2 linked regions of the Caenorhabditis elegans genome follow. The protein of the gene in region 1 purifies or fractionates together with the protein of each later gene. This does not show direct contact. Each region holds a gene or a part of one and is shown on either strand. Other genes may lie near its edges.

Region 1 (8,497 bases):
TTTTTAGACCCAATTTTTTTATAATGTGTCTTTTTGAAAATTTTCCGGGTTTTTTAAAAGATATTTTCTTAGAATATGCCTGCTTTTCAGAATAGATGTAGGAACATGAATAGATGTAGGAACACATTTTTTCCGATTAAAATTGAAATTCTGATATTTTCAACAAAAAAAATTTTGCTGCAACAAATCGTTTGCCGCTCACCCCTGGTCCACAGAGATCTTGGCTTTTACAATTATAACAACGTAATCATTCTGTTTAATGTTATTTATCCAATCTGGCCGTAGTAATGGTATATCCTCAAAACAAAAATCCTCATTTTCATCCAAATATACATTTTCTTTTCAATTATCTAGCGGATTAGTCATTCCACCATGATATTTCGTATTTTTTCCGCTGACTGTTTCTGAAATAGGATTATATATTGAGGCGTGCCGCTATAATAGAGAATATACGGTAGCTTCAATTTTTGACTTTAATTCACAATAAGTTTTCTGTGTGTGATTCCTGTTTCGCGAAACTTAAGTGATTTTTATGCTAACGTCAAAACTGTGAACCCTACTTTAAAAAATATTAAAATGTTTGAAATGTGTTCCACTTTTAGATCGATCCACGTGGAGTCAGAAAGTCCCATTTCGCTTTTATCTTCGAAAAATGCGGGAATTTAGACGCAGACATTTCATCTGATTTCGCATGGTTAAGAGCGTGCTGACGTCACAATTTTTCTGGAAAAATATTCCCGCATTGTTCGTAGATCAAACCGCAATGAGACAGCCTGAATTTCTTTTTAATATTTTAAACGGTGCCATCAAATAATTCAAATACGGTATATTCCCAAAAGTCAGGATGTACACCAGGGGTGTGCGGCAAATTTGCCGAATTTGCCGTTTGCCGAGCTCGGCAAATTTCGAAATTTGCCGCACACGTCAAAAATTTTACAGTACAATTTTGACTAAAATTATTGATTTTTCGCCAAAAATTTAGTAAAATGACACAAAATTGAGTTAGTTTTATGCTTAAGCAGACATACTACACGGAACTAATTCAGAAACCAGATGTGTGTTAAGAATGCGGTAGTTTTGGTGTTCCAAAAAACATCAAAAATTATCAAAATTTTCCGAGTTTGTTAAGCACGGCAAATTTGCCGAATTTGCCGTGCTCGGCAAATATTGAAAAAAGAGATTTGCCGAATTTGCCGAGCTCGGCAAATTTTGAGATTTGCCGCACACCCCTGATGTACACTCAAAATAAAGAAACACTGCGTGGCGTATACTGCAGAAAACCTAATATTTAGGCCCCGCCTTTTTCTCGTCCACTCACGGGGAAAAGGCAAAATTCGCGACCCCAACCAATATCAGGCCGCCGACATCTCACGGGTTCCGCGCGCCGCTGCGTTTAACTCGCTGTGGGCGTGGCGAGCTGTCTCCGCCTGCTGCGAGTTAAACATAGCGGCGCGCGGAACCCGTGAGAAGTCGGCGGCCTGATATTGGTTGGGGTCAAAAAATTTTTGCCTTTTCTCCGTAAGTGGACGAGAAAAAGGCGCGGCCTAAATATTAGGTTTTCTGCAGTACACGCCACGCAGTTTCTTTATTTTGAGTGTAAAGTAGCGCCTACATGGATTTCTGGCTCCCCTCATAAATTGAGATGGAAGAGTTTGCCGAACAAGGCCATTTTGGCTCGGCCATATCTGGGGTAGAATTACGGCGCGTTGCGTGTCGCGTCGCGGCTCGATTTTAGTTGTAAAACTTAATGTAGTTGTCCGTGTGGAGTGCACGATTTTCCCACGCGTTGTCCAGGTCAATGGAGCGCGAAAAAATCAAAAAAAATCAAGTTTTGTTAATTTGAGTATAAATGGAATAAATATATTATCCCTCGAAACAAATTTAATGCATTCCTATTCTACTATCAGGTACTAGTGGCCTGGCAAGAAGGTAATATCAGACTAGCACAACGGTTCTTCAATTCCAAGACTCTTGTTATTTCCTTATACTTGTTATTTTTGGAGTTTCCATTTTCTCGTGCAACATCAGTAACAATCATATAAGCTTTAGTGCAATCTACACATTCATATTTCTTCTCCTTCTCCCCTCATCATCATGGATTAGACAGCGCACTGGTTACACGACTTCTCTTCAGAAGACATAATAATGGAATTCTTCTTTTTCTTCTTGCTTTTTCCTTCTTGCTCCCCCTTCTCAACATTTTCTGCATTTTTCCCGTCACATATGTTCTTCTCTGCCCCCTCGCCGCCCTCTCTCTCATAATAATCTATTCCCCGCTTTTTTGCGCGGAAGAGGGGACTCTTTTAGTTTTTCCCCTTGGAGGATACTATTTCCATTCGTTTCCTTCTTTCATTTTCGGAATTTCATTATTTAATTTTCTCGTCTTCTCAGATTGCAGTGACCCCGGTTTTCTCTCTTTTTCTCGAACTTTTCCAACATGTACTACTCGGTTAGGAAATGAGCTTTTTTATTTAAAAGGCTTATAGGACCTTTAGATAAAACTCCTTAATTCATAAAAAGAAAAGTAGCTAAGTTATATATATAACCCACCTTGTAATAGTGTAGTTAGAGTTTCTAATGAAAATCTAAGGTTTTTATTCTATATTTGAAGGATCTAGGTTCTAGTAGCCTCAAATAGAACCTGAGATGTATTTTGTGCCTAAAAACAAGATAGGATCATTCATACTTACTTATTTTATTTAGGGTACTCACTTAGGACTGAGTATTCCAATAGTAAGTAGGTTATTTTTTGGCTGAGCAGTGGAGCGTTTAATAACTGAATAGGGTCATTAATATAAACCAATGCTCATTGAGAAACCATTACTTATTTTTGACCTCCATTTTCTCAGAATTTGGTAAAATTTGGTGAAATTGTTGTGAAGCGATATTCTGCAAGTGAACTTTTTAAAAAAATGGACTGATGACTAGCCTAAAAATTGTTCTACTTATTGTATGCTTTATTATAAACATGATTTCCTTACCTTATATATATATATATATATTATTCGGTTACTTGATCATCTTATCGATCACATGTTTTGTCCTTTTTAAATCCTTTGATTCTTCTTCTTTCCATTTCTTTAAAACGTGAACGAATAAAAAAAAAATATATATATAACCTTATATAACCTTATATATATAACCTTATATGGACTGATGACTAGCCTTAAAAAATCGTTCTACTTATTGTATGCTTTATTATAAACATGATTTCCTTACCATAAATATATATAACCTTATATAATAATGCCGCACTCCAGGGGTGTGTGTCAAATTTCGAAATTTGCCGAGCTCGGCAAATTCGGCAAATCTACTTTTTTGAAATTTGCCGTGCTCGGCAAATTCGGCATATTGGCGAGCTCGGCAAACGGCAAATTCGGCAAATTCGGCGAGTTTGCCGCACACCCCTGCCGCACACCTTTGACCATCGATTTTTTGCATTTTTAGCTGATTTTCCGTATTTTTAATTGAACTTTTTCGAACATCTTGCTGAAATAGACTGTTGCACTTTATTTTAACGATTTTCATTAATAAATATTTTTCAGATAACACTCTTATTCTCCATATTACGTGTTCCCTGATGAAATGAATGAATATGCATTTGATCTACCTATTCCTACTGTCCATATTCGTTTCCAAGGCAGACGGTAATAGTAGAAAAACTATTTTTCGTGAGTTTTTTTTTTTTTGACATTTTTTTAATATGAAGCTTGTTGTAATGAGCATTTTGGAGAGAGAAAAATGGAAGAAGGGCATTTTGAGAGAACATAGGTTTTTCCAAAATATTTGAAGAAAATTTAATTTTTCGAAAATTTTGAAACACAAAATTTTTAATATATTTTAAAACAAATATTCAACTAGAAAAGTAGAAAGTTGCAAAAAGTTAATTTAAACAAAACATTTTAATTCCAGAAAATCCGTAAAATCTAAAATTAAAAAAACAAAATTTTCGATTATTTCTAGATTTTTTCCTAAATATTTTTACGCCTGATTTTTCACTTCGTTAATAAAATGTTAAAAAATAATTTATCAGAACAAAAATTTTCGAAAAACTGCACTTTTTGGAAATTTTTAAATATAAAAAAAAAAATTCTTTTCGAAAATCCAAAAAAAATTTTTTATTTTTTTTGAAATTGTTCCATAGTTCACTATTAATCAGAAAAAATTAAATTTAAACTCTATAATAAATTTAATATTCAAAACTATCGAAATATTTCAGAAAAATCGTCCAAAAATTCGAAAATCTTTGGAAAATTGGAAATTTCAACAGAAAAAAGAGCTTCGGGGTTTTGTAAGAATTTTGAAATTTTGAGGCTATAACTATCCGACTATATCCGACTCACCTCTTAAAAAATAATTTCAAAAAAAAAAATTTTTTTTTGGAAAAAATGTTTGGTAATTTTTGGAATTGTTCCCCTTAAATTTTTTCAAAAAAATGTTTTTTTCATAAAATTTTTCAAATAGTTTAAAATTCAACTATAACTTACTAATTTAAGACTGTATAATACAAAAAAATATGTAAAAATTTAATACTCGCCTGATTGTGAAGCCAACAGTGACCCAAAAAAAAAAAAAAATTTTTTCTAAAAAATGTTTTTCTCAAAATTACCAAATTTCGTCCAACTATGTAACACAATTCCCCTCAAATCAAACTCTTCGAAAAATGCTCAGACAAGCTTAGGAGCCTCGCAGCGCAAAAAGTATATCGAAAAGTGTGTGTGTGTCTGTGTATTTAAGTGGATTCTAAGTGGGGGAGAACTTGTTCAGCAGCCCCCTCTAGTGCCGTTTTAGGTAGGTATTGCTCCAAAATTCCCAAGAGGGAGACAGAATTCCAATCCATCACTCTAATCTTCTTTTTTCGTACACACACATCTAAGGCCCTCTTTTTTAGCATTTTGAAACGTAGTTTTAAATCCATCCCCGTCTCTTTTCCTCTATTCTTCCGAGCAAACTTTATTTTTCTCTTTTCCTAACTCTCTCCCTCTTAAATATTTGCTCTTATACCGCCTCCCCCAATACATACCCCCCCCCCCCCAAATATTCCATACCTCCCCCCCCTCCCCTACCCCTCACAATTATTTACCCCTGTCCCCTTTGTCCCCCCAGACCCCGACTGTGTTCCCCTGTCCCCCACTGTGTCCCCCCAGTCCCCCACTGTCCCCCCTGTCCCCCACTGTGTCCCCCCAGGCCCCGACTGTCCCCCCGGTCCCCGCAGAGCCATGCGAAGCCTGGAGCGAATCGTTGAGACCCGTATAGAACTTTTGGAATGGGACTCCAAGGAGACTAAGGAGGACTGTGCCAGATGTCGGGCTCTGGATTGTGATATTATTTTTGCCCTTTTATTCACTATTGTCATTGCCTGTTTGCTAGTTTTGATTATGGTGTTCTGGCTGAAAGGGGTCCTGCAGTATGAGGAGTGAGTTTTTGGTTTTACTTTTTTTGGGCTAGGGAATTCTTTATTTCAAACGGCTTTCTCCTGCAAATCGGCAAATTGCCGGATTTGAAAATTCCGGCAAATCGGCAAATTGCCGGATTTGAAAATTCCGGAAAATCGGTATATTTGCCGGAATTTACATAATCCGGCAAGTCGGCAAACCGATGTCAAACTAGTTTTTATCATGGTGCATCGATCGGGGAATGGGCGGCAATAGACTGTTTTCTGCAAATCGGCAAATTGCCGGAATTGAAAATTTCCGGCGAATCGGCAAACCGGCAAACCGGCAAACTGTCGATTTGCCGAATTATATGTTCAGAACAAATTATGAGCATACAACAAACTCGAACCTTGAAAAAGGATAATCTGAACCAGGGATGGGCAGAAAATTGGCAAATTGCTGAAAATTAAAATTTCCGGCAAATTGGTAAACTGGCAAATTGCCGGAATTGATAATTTCCGGCAAATCGGCAAATCAACAAACCGACAAATTGCCGGTATTGAAAATTTCCGGCAAATCGGCAAATTTCAGGAATTGAAATTTCAGGCAAATTAGCAGATTGCCGGAATTGATAATTTCCGGCAAGTTGGCAAATTGCCGAAATTGAAAATTTCCGGCAAATCGGCAAACCTGTAAATTGTCGGAATTGAAAAATTTCGGAAAATTGACAAATTGTCGAAAATGAAAATTTCCGGCAAATCGACACACTGCTGGATTTTGAAATTCCGGAAAATTGGTAAATTTCTTGGATTGAGATATCCGGCAAATCGGCAAAGTGCCGCATTTGCCGGAAAAACGGCAACTGGCGGAATTTCTGGCAACTTGTGGTTTCGCACATTTTTTTTCGGAAAATTGCCGGAATTGAAAATTTCCGGCAAATTTTCGGAATTAAAAAAAAATTGCCTTTTTTATAGTTCTGTAGTTGAACAATCGATGCACCATGTTCAAAACGAAAGGGGGGTTTCCGGAAAAATCGAAAAAAAAATTCTCACAAGTTGGTGGTTTTTTTTAGTCCAAACTAGGCTTTTCACACACACTTTTCGACAAACTTTCTGCGCGCGAGCTTCAGATACCCCTCACCACCCACCCCCAACCTTTCCAGAATGCGATCAACACTTTGACGAGTCTCAACCGGAAGGTGTCATCGAGTTCCCGAGCCTGCCGAAGCAGTTGGCGTTGAGCCATGGGGTGAACAACTCGAAACCAGAGCAGCAATATAATTTGCAAGTACGCGCGGGGGGATTTTAAATTTTTAAACCTCAAAATTTATAATTATCGAAAAAAAATTTAATTTAAAATTTCCTAAATTTCCCTAAATTTCCAGTGTGTATACACGTTTGTTGCGGGATCGAGGCAGCGTGTAAGGCTCGAATTCGACCATTTTCTCCTATCGGGTAGTTCTGAGAAGTGAGTTTTTTTCGCCAAATACACGGTTTGATCTACAAAAAATGCGGGAATTTCAGAGAAATCTCCCGAATTTTTCGTAGATCAAAGTGCAAATATGGCTCCCTAAAAAACCCGTAATTTAATTTCAGCTGTGATATAGAATATGTAGATATTTACTCTGAAGTCGAGTCGGTCGACGAGGATATTCTCTCATCCGCACTCGGAGGTCGCTACTGTGGTACTGTGGCGCCTCACGTTAGAATCAGCCTACGACGCGTCATGAAACTCGTTTTACATTCCCGTTCGACAAATCATGAGGATAATCATGGATTTCGAGCCAAATATTCGTTTATTCCAGAAGGTAAGTGTGGTCAAAATCGGACTATTTTTAGTCAAAATATGACTATTTTTTGGCCAAAAATAGTCCAATTTTGATCAAAAAATTGTCCGCTTTTGATCAAAAATAGTCTAATTTAGACGAAAAATTGCCTAATTTTGGCACAAAAATAGTCCCATTTTTGACCAAAAATATTCCAATTTTACAAACAATAGTTTGATTTCGGCCAAAAATAGTCCGATTTTGACCTTAAAATAGTCCGATTTTGATCAAAAATAGTCCGATTTTAACAAACAATAGTTTGATTTCGGCCAAAAATAGTCCGATTTTGACCTTAAAATAGTCCGATTTTGACGGAAAATAGTCCAATTTCGACTAAAAATATTCCGCTTTTTCAAAAAATAGTTTGATTTCGGCCAAAAATAGTCCGATTTTGACCTTAAAATAGTCCGATTTTGATCAAAAATAGTCCGATTTTAACAAAAAATAGTCCGATTTTAACCAGAAATAGTCCGAATTTGATCTGAAAATAGTCCGATTTTGAGCAAAAAATAGTCCAATTTTGATCAAAAATGGTCGGATTTTGACCAAAAATTGCCTAAAAATTGTGACTAAAAATTGCCCGATTCTGGCCAAAAATAGTTGGATTTCGACCAAAAATAGTCCGATTTTGACCAAAAAATAGTCCCATTTTTTACCAAAAGTACTCCGATTTTGACCAAAACATTGTCCGATTCAAGCCCATTTAATTAAAAATTTGCTAGTTTTTTTAAATGTTTTTTTTAGGTTTAGGATTGGGCTTAGGCTTAGGCTTATGCTTAATATTATGCTTAGGCATAGGCTTACGCTTAGGGAGAACAATTCCAACTTTCAAGGGATTACCAGAAAAATGGGAAAAATTGTGAAAATGTCACTAACTCGGTCCGAAGACCGTAAAAATCCCAAAATCTCATAAAATCCTTTCTAAAATCCCAACAAATTGCATCCGAAAATGCTCCTTTTCGGAGCAAAAATCCACGGAAAAATAAAATTTTTTTAAAAAAATTGATTTTGCGGATCACGAGAGTTGAACGAGAATTTTATTATAATCTTAAAAAACGATCAAAAACTGGAAAAAAAATTAATGAAAACTCAGCCATGATCCCGTTTATTCCAGACAAATTCATTGCCGGGGAGCCAGTTGGCGGCAAAAAGTGCAGCTTCATAATCGACTCTTCCGATCGTAAAATCGGAACCCTCTACTCACCAACCTACCCCGGCACTTATCCCCACAATATGCACTGCTCCTACCTGATGAAGGCAGGAAGAGGCGAACGAATCCGTCTCTTTTTTACTGATT
Region 2 (8,630 bases), on another chromosome or scaffold:
TTTTAGAAGAACAGTTCAAAATGGTAGTAAGCAACAATTCACTGTATAAAAATGTGCACAAATGTTCAACAGACCGAGACTCCATTGTCAGAGTGTTGCATTATCATTCTTTCAAGTTTTCCCGACACAATTCCACATTTTCCCGAGTGTTGCCGATGAGTTGATAGTTCTGAAATAAAAATAACTGAAAAAATGCATCACTATTATAAAGTACCATCATCGACATATTCTCTTACGGCTCTGCCAGGCAAACTTCGTTTTTTTCGGTCCCAAAGAATTTTTCCTTCAATCATTGGATGCGTTTGCGAAACACATTTGGGTGACACTTTTGGCATCCATTCACCATTCACACAAGTTGCCTTAGGGGGCCCTACAAGACCGATTATTTTGAAAGAAAGAATGCATAGGTTACCAATCAAATAATTGCCCTTCCCACACTGAAAACTGATAGCTCTCCCTTCTTCTACTTTTTGAATATAACTTTGAAACTCGTATGCACCAAGGATTCCCTCCAGAAGTATTTGTCCGCCAGGAAGTGTTCCATATGTTTTGCTAGGGTGTTCACACCAACCTAAACTTTATTGAAAATAAAAAAAAATTTGAATGATAAACGGCTCGACAAGTGTGGTCAGTGCAACTTAAATTGGTCAGTGCAACTGCAACTGGTCAGTGCAACTAAAATTGGTCAGTGCAACTGCAAGTGGTCAGTGCAACTAAAATTGGTCAGTGCAACTGTAACTGGTCAGTGCAACTAAATTGGTCAGTGCAACTGGTGCAACTTAAATTGGTCAGTGCAACTGCAACTGGTCAGTGCAACTTAAATTGGTCAGTGCAACTGCAACTGGTCAGTGCAACTTAAATTGGTCAGTGCAACTTAAATTGGTCAGTGCAACTGCAACTGGTCAGTGCAACTGCAACTGGTCAGTGCAACTTAAATTGGTCAGTGCAACTGCAACTGGTCAGTGCAACTTAAATTGGTCAGTGCAACTGCAACTGGTCAGTGCAACTTAAATTGGTCAGTGCAACTGCAACTGGTCAGTGCACTGCAACTGGTCAGTGCACTACAACTGGTCAGTGCACTGCAACTGGTCAGTGCACTACAACTGGTCAGTGCACTGCAACTGGTCAGTGCACTACAACTGGTCAGTGCACTGCAACTGGTCAGTGCACTACAACTGGTCAGTGCACTGCAACTGGTCAGTGCACTACAACTGGTCAGTGCACTGCAACTGGTCAGTGCACTACAACTGGTCAGTGCACTGCAACTGGTCAGTGCACTACAACTGGTCATGGTCAGTGCACTGCAACTGGTCAGTGCACTAATTTTGGTCAGTGCACTACAAGTGGTCAGTGCAAATGCAAGTGATCAGTGCACTACAACTGGTCAGTGCAAATGCAGGTGGTCAGTGCAATCGCAAGTGGTCAGTGCAAATGCAACTGGTCAGTGCAACTAAAATTGGTCAGTGCAACTGCAACTGGTCAGTGCAAATGCAGGTGGTCAGTGCAATTGCAAGTGGTCAGTGCAAATGCAAGTAATCAGTGCAACTGCAAGTGGTCAGTGCAAATGATTTTAGTTAGGAAGGACAAATGCTCCACGCATTTCTTTGCTCTTATCATCCCAGTCTGGAACAACTTATTCAAAAATGTTACGGTTTTTATGTCCCCATATCAGTTCTGTGAATTTATTCATCTCAACATCCCCCGGTTATAACTACACTTTTACCTCCATTCTCGTCTTTCTCCCCGTTTCACCTGTTCCCTATTATCTTATTTCCTTTTTTTGTAACTTTTACTCGAGTTGAACTCTTTTAGGGTTCGTCTCGTTTTATTTGTTTATTTCTCTTCTTTTAGTTAAATAAACTCAAATTCAAGAAATTCAAATGCAAGTGGTCAGTGCAAATGCAACTGGTCAGTGCAACTAAAATTGGTCAGTGCAACTGCAACTGGTCAGTGCAAATGCAGGTGGTCAGTGCAATTGCAAGTGGTCAGTGCAAATCCAAGTAATCAGTGCAACTGCAAGTGGTCAGTGCAAATGCAAGTGATCAGTGCAAATGCAAGTGGTCAGTGCAAATGCAAGTGATCAGCGCAAATGCAAGTAGTCAGTGCAACGGAGCAAAAGGAAAAAATGTTTGATCCAATCATTATGATGTTTCTTGTGGTTTGATACATCATTTACAAATGATCACCCTTTTTGGAGAAAAATGCGTCTAAAGATCAGAGGTGGTAATGTGTCGGCCTGCGACTGAGTTTTGGATCGGCCCACAACACGTTGACACCTCTACGTCAAAGTATGCGGTAGAAAAATTGGACAGATGTGTACCACTTTTCGGCCTGTGAGTAACGCACTTGGTAAACATTTCATTGGTGGTCCGTCTTTAGTCCATTCTCCATAAAGACATTTTATAATTTGATTATTTCTGTTTGGATGATAACCATTGTTGCATTCATATTTGGCGATTGAGCCGTGCGATGATTTCGAGAATAGAATTCGAGCATGTGGAACCCTTGGCGGCCAATTGTGGCAGCTTACTGAAAAGAAAAGCTGTGGTTTTATGCTATTTTAAAATTAAACTTACAAGGACTACAAACTGGAACATGTGACCATGTGGAATTGCTACAAATTAGGCGTTCATCGATGTTTGCTTCGTGTTGCTTATTGCATTCAACAATCACTTTGGAACCTGAAACTTGAATGAATTATTCTAAACTTTAGAAAAACAACTACCGGACGCAATGAGTTGACCTTCGCTTTTGTCTCTTATTTTTCCATTTTGTATATGTGGTACTCTACAAGAAGCTAAACATCTTGGAATCGGAGCACTCCATTGACCATCTTCCATGCATTTTGCCTTTGACGCTCCCTCGTGAGTCATTGTTTCCAAGCACCTGAATTTAAACATTTAAGAAACATAAATTTGTTTAGATTTGGAAAATCGTTACCTGAAAACTGCGACAGCTCCGAATGACGTTTCACTGCCCTCAATGTATCCATTGGGAAGGGTTGGAAGTACTGAACATCGAATTTCTTCACATCGCGGCTCATTTCCTCCCCATATTCCCTCAGCTAAACATATTCGTTGAACTTGACCAACGAGGCGATAACCATGATCACAGGAGTACGTCACAACGGACTGGTATGTCAATGAGCTACCGACAACTTTTCCATGAAGTGGGCTTGACGGACGAGAGCATTCAGTAGCTGGAAAAGTTTATGAGTTGTTAATTTATTATAACATAGGTAATTTGCAGTGTATTTCAGTATGTCCTTATGTATTCTGATTTTTGATCTTTTTTGTGGCCTATATAAAACGTGTGGTACAACTATCGAGGTCCGTGATGGATAACTATCGCCCGAACATCTTACGTTTTCTGGGTATTTTGAGTGGTCCGCGCACACAGATCATGGAACACTATTCACACAATTTCTACTCAAGAGAGTTTTGTAAGATTTAGGGTTACTGTGGATATATTGCGGTTGCCACCAGCGAACGAAACTGACTTGTTGCTCAATAAAACAAACTGGCTACCAACAAAACATTTTTATTGTTTTTTTTTTTCAATTTTTTCAAAGTGTACCTTTACAATTAGCCGGCTCATTTGTCCATTCTCCGTTACTGGAGCATTGACGGGAAGTCGAACCGACAAGAAGAAAACCAGGGTTACATGAATACTTGACGTGATGGGGATATTCAAATGTATCTCCCTCTCGAAGACCATTTTCTATATCTCCGGGATCCGGACATGCTCTTGCTAAAAGTTGCATTGACTTATTGGGCAAGTTTAAGTTTTTCGCATTTTTTCAAATTTTCAAAGTTTTACCTTTACATCTCAAATCAGGTCCAAACCATTGTGCAACATTTTTCCGATTCAACAGACATTTTGATATTGAAAGACCCTGTAAGCATTATTTTTAAAGATAAAATGGAGAATTTTGATTTAAGTCTCACTTTTGCGTTGAATTTGTGATAGCCTGGTATGCAATTATAAGCAACTTCAGCATCAAGGTCATACTCTCCGGAAAATGAAGACCCGTCGTGAACGGCAAATGGAATTTCCGGTGGTGGCCCGCATTTTACTGAAATATTTTGGGATTATACGGCAGTGTCGATAAGAAACGTAAAGCATTGGATGAGGAATCATGCAATTCTGTAGTCACATAATTTAGAAAATTCTTAAACAAAATTCCTAGATATTCTGGATCGATGTTTTGGTATTCAATCAAGTTGATTTGGTTAGATTGAACTTTAGTGGTGAAAACCTTTTTTGTAAGGCTAATTTATTTCTGAATACCCCTAACCGTTTTTTTTTTAAATTTTAAACCACTTGACAGCTGACAGCTCACCGCCACCAATCAACTAAATTTATCAACTGCTCGATAAAAGCTGAAATCTTTTTTCGTTGAGTAAAGTAGATTTGAAATTGTTTGTTTCACAAAATTGGTGATATTTTGATATTATCTTTTAGTGCATTTGATTTTTTGTTTATCTTGCTATAAATTTTGTTATATCTTTATATTGTTTTTTCAAAAAACTTAGGTTTAACTATTTGTGCACTTAAAAAATCTTCTTATTTTATTTTGAACCCGTAAACATAATTTTTTTAAATAAGGAACTTGAAAAAATACATTGTAACCTGCAAACAGGTTGTGAAGAACTCCATTCTTTGTTAGCCTGACATCTTCTCTGACTGGCACCAACTAGTATATATCCCTTGTTGCATCCATATTCTGCATTTGATCCAAATCGCAAATCACCAGCAGTTCGTATAAATCCATTTTCAATATTTGGAAGTGGGTGGCACATTGCAACTGAATAAAAACAAAAAAGTTCATTTTTTATATTGCTCAATAGACAAGATATTTTTATCACTCACTTGGGTTCACACAGCTCAAGCCACATTCTCCGTCGCACATACATCTTTTGTTTCTTTTACAATCTTCGTCTGCTATACACTCTTTTTTGCAATGTTTCGGCCGTTGTGATAGAGTAACTTCCGGACAAGATAGGGCCGACGCGTAGGTAATGGAGATGGCGAGTAGTAGTAGAAATCGCATTTAATTCATGTGATTTGGTACTATGAAAATTTTAAAAGAGAAATCCGCTTGAGTTCTTGCAAGACGGCATTCTTTCACCAGCTGACACGCAATGTATTGATTGATTGGGGTCTTTTCAAGGGTTCCCATTGTAAAGTTGCTCGAGTATCATGCTTGTCTGATCAATTATTTGCTGCGGGACATTGTGGCAAATAGGAACTGACTGCTGAAAAATTAGAGGTGAAGGTATTTTGATGTGATTTTTGCGGTTTTCACAACTTTCACAGGGTTACAGAAAAATCTTTATTTTTTTATTTTATTTTTCTCCAAAATTTGAATTCAAAAAAGGGGAGAATTTTGAGAAATATCAGTGAAGAAATACAAGTTTATCGCAGGGGCGACAAATCATATTTTTTGGCAAACGTCCTATTTGGAAATCGCCTTTTAGGTTTGAATGATTGTGGAAGTTTGAGATTTTGCAAAAAAATTGGTAGACTGAAAAATATAAAAAAACAGGAAACAGGTTACAATTGTAAATGTTTTGCTTATGAAAAATCCCTTAAAAAGTATTTGGCAAATTGAGTTTAGTTTCGGCAGATGGCCGAAAATGAAAATTTCTGTCAAATCGCCGCACTTTTAGAACAATAATTAATGCTTGCTATTTCAGAACTGTTTCCCCATAGTTGAATTTTAAAAAAAGTGCAAAAAACATTCTCGAAATGGAATAAATTGGACAAGTGAAAAAATCATTTTGAAAAATAAAAAAATATCTGGAGGTATGGGGAATCGAACCCCAGACTTCTCGCATGCAAAGCGAGCGCTCTACCCCTGAGCTATACCCCCGTACGGCATTTGAGTAAGAGACGCAAGTGAATATACATACATTTTCTCTCTCACCCATTGACAAACTGGTTGCCTCCCCGCGAGGTGTTCCTGTGAAGCGGGGGGGGGGGGGGTGTTCTGCGAGTTGTTGGTTTGCTGTTGAGATGAAGAAAAATAGCTTCTCGCGGACGAGAAAGTGCAGCTAATTTCATTTTTTTTTTTTTGGAAAATGGTTTTTTATTGCTCTCTATTATTGAGAAAACAAGAGATGATCTTAAACATTATTTTTTGCAAAAACTGTTATCTTGTCTTTTTTCATTTTAAATATGTAATTTGTAATTTCATCACATATCTGTAAAATGAACTCATCAAACAATAGTGCTGACCGTTGTAAAAATGAACCGCAATCTCCGAAATAAAACTTTAATTCTTTTAGGGACACTCAAATCTTCCCCCAACAAAACTATACTTTTTTTGGTTCCATTTGTTTGATTTACCATGTTACGCTTAAATGTACTTCACTTGACCGATCCGACCATAAAACTTTGGTTGCATGTCCAAGGCACATCTGTTGTGTGTGACCTCTCCCCACATTCCGGCGTAGCCTCGTTTACATTTGTCCCCTTTTGTTAGACGCAAGAACTATGCAAATTCGCTCTATTTCACTCGTACAGACAGTTGTTTTTGTTTTGGTTTGAATTGGGTTTTCTGGGTTAATTCTAGGTTTTTTCTAGCTTTTTAGTTTTTTTGCCGTTTGGTAATCGTTAATATTTCATCAATTTCAAAAATTTTCAGAAAATGGATAATGGTCACGGGTATGAAGAATTCGAATTATTAGAAGATGGATCGCTTGGAGAGTGCTCGACACAAGTGGCAAATGCAACATTTCTCACAATTTCAAAGTTGATATGTTTGGTCGTTGCATTCAAATTCATCAAACATATACGTAAGTTTTGATAAAAATATAAACTGAGACAAAAATACCTAACAAAATGTTTTAAAAACTTTGTTTCAAACAAATTTGTTTCTAATTTGTTGTTATGTTCAAATTGGAAAACACATGTGCTTGCTTTATTAATCTTGCCAAAAAAAAAATGACTAAAATTTTCACAAAGTAAGACTGATCTAGCTAGAGATAAGAGCTCCATGGTGAGACGGTAGTCTTAAGTGGAGTAACGCCAGTGCGGAAATTGTTAAAAACGACTTCTATGGTGCAAAAATAGCCAACTATTATATTAGCACTTTACGAAACTTCTTATTTTGTTTCAATAAGTGGTAAAAACTCAGTTTCTGCATCCATCTTTAAAAGTTGTCTATTGAAAAAATTTCCTTTGAATTTTATGTTCTTGTTTCAAACATTAATATTTAAACATTGTAGGGATTCGAGCATGCGACAGTGCTATATTTATCTCGAATATTGGCGAAAACTCAAAAATTGCCACATTTTGACAGTCAGAAAAAAGGTTCTAAAATTTTTTGAAAAGTTTTAACATGATATCTGGTCATTTTAGCACCACAGATGTGGTTTTTACATCTGCATACTCTTTTAGTAGTGCGGTTTTATAAACTAATTAACTAATTACTATTAACTAATAATTAACTAAATTAATAAATAATTAACTAATTACTAATAAACTAATTAACAAACTAAATAATTAACAGAGTTTCCTACTGGATAGAAAATTTTATCCACAGAAAAATGTTTCATAATTTGATAACCGATGTTTCAAATTATGTATGTATTGAAAAACATACTAAACCTATTATTTTAGAAGGAAAACGTGAAAATTTCGAAACCAAGTCATTCATTCGTTCGGGAATTCAAAAGTTACTGAGTATTTTTATAGTTGCAAAATTTAAGAAATCATAGTAGTAAATCAGTTTTGTGTGATTTTTTCAAAAACTGGTCAATTTCAGTCTTTTAGCAAATTAATTCCCCTTTTTGTAGCAATTTCAACAACGGTTCGTGTCTATGTACATGTCTTCGCCAGTACTTTCACAGTTATGTGGTTTTCAAGAAATCACCTACAATCGGCTATCATTTACAACATGTTCAGTTTGATATCGCTTGCACTGGCCATCAAACAATTTAGTGGATACATCATTCTTGCAGGGAACATCTCTCTTCTGATTGCATTGTAAGTATTTTTTTTATAAGTCAAGCGTTTGTAAAATTTGTGGGACAAATTAAAAAATTTTTAGGCAAAACTTCTGCCGACACTACAGATCCGAAGACTACTTTTTGTCCATTCGTGGAATTTTGATGATCCATATAATGAGACTGACCACGGTTGCCTTCAATCTGGAAAAAGCGAATAGCAACAAATTCCGATTTGTTCAGTTTTCCAGTTATGTTGAGTACATTTACTTCCCACCGTTCATCATTTTCGGGCCCTATTTGAGTTTTGAGCAGTTTTTCAAAATGAGAGACAAAAAGTGGACAGGATCTGAGGTTTGTTGTGAAGTTTTGGGAACTAAGTCGTAAGACTATTAGTAAGTTCTAAGTGTCAAAGTGTTAAATACGTTTCAAAATTTTTAATCAGAAAATTTTAAACCATGGCTACAGTTTTGAATTTGATTTCAGAGTTGACCTTATAGGAGCGCTACTTTTGAATAAAAAGTGTAACATAACTACAAACCAGCCTCCGATTGCTGTAAAACAGAACTGTCAGCAAAATAGGAAACTTCAATTAAAATTTGGCAATTTTTTAAAAAGTTTCGAAACCCCTAAACGTTTTTAGCAATTTGTAAGAACTTCAATTATGACGTTTAGTTT

The links.
Region 2: the proteins of lev-10 (region 1) and lev-9 purify together in Caenorhabditis elegans (affinity purification with a luminescence readout, with the first as the bait; one study listed by BioGRID). This does not show direct contact.

Annotation. Positions count from the first base shown.
Region 1 is NC_003279.8:14,386,788-14,395,284, forward strand, and holds the start of lev-10 (CUB domain-containing protein), read left to right. Parts: upstream 1-3,545; 5' UTR 3,546-3,595; coding exon 3,596-3,671; intron 3,672-5,072; exon of another isoform or gene 5,073-5,219; coding exon of another isoform or gene 5,220-5,416; intron 5,417-6,537; coding exon 6,538-6,662; intron 6,663-6,759; coding exon 6,760-6,842; intron 6,843-6,970; coding exon 6,971-7,182; intron 7,183-8,314; coding exon 8,315-8,497. Other genes in the region: eat-18 (uncharacterized protein), read left to right, coding at 5,220-5,416, 6,760-6,799.
Region 2 is NC_003284.9:6,286,475-6,295,104, forward strand, and holds the start of lev-9 (Protein lev-9), read right to left. Parts: upstream 5,076-8,630; 5' UTR 5,054-5,075; coding exon 4,873-5,053; intron 4,808-4,872; coding exon 4,625-4,807; intron 4,076-4,624; coding exon 3,948-4,075; intron 3,896-3,947; coding exon 3,820-3,895; intron 3,751-3,819; coding exon 3,577-3,750; intron 3,200-3,576; coding exon 2,941-3,199; intron 2,887-2,940; coding exon 2,726-2,886; intron 2,682-2,725; coding exon 2,577-2,681; intron 2,530-2,576; coding exon 2,347-2,529; intron 572-2,346; coding exon 413-571; intron 371-412; coding exon 215-370; intron 170-214; coding exon 75-169; coding exon of another isoform or gene 66-74; exon of another isoform or gene 1-65. Other genes in the region: mom-1 (Protein-serine O-palmitoleoyltransferase porcupine), read left to right, coding at 6,653-6,800, 7,803-7,992, 8,057-8,306. UniProt on the Caenorhabditis elegans protein: Scaffolding protein that is necessary to cluster acetylcholine receptors at neuromuscular junctions.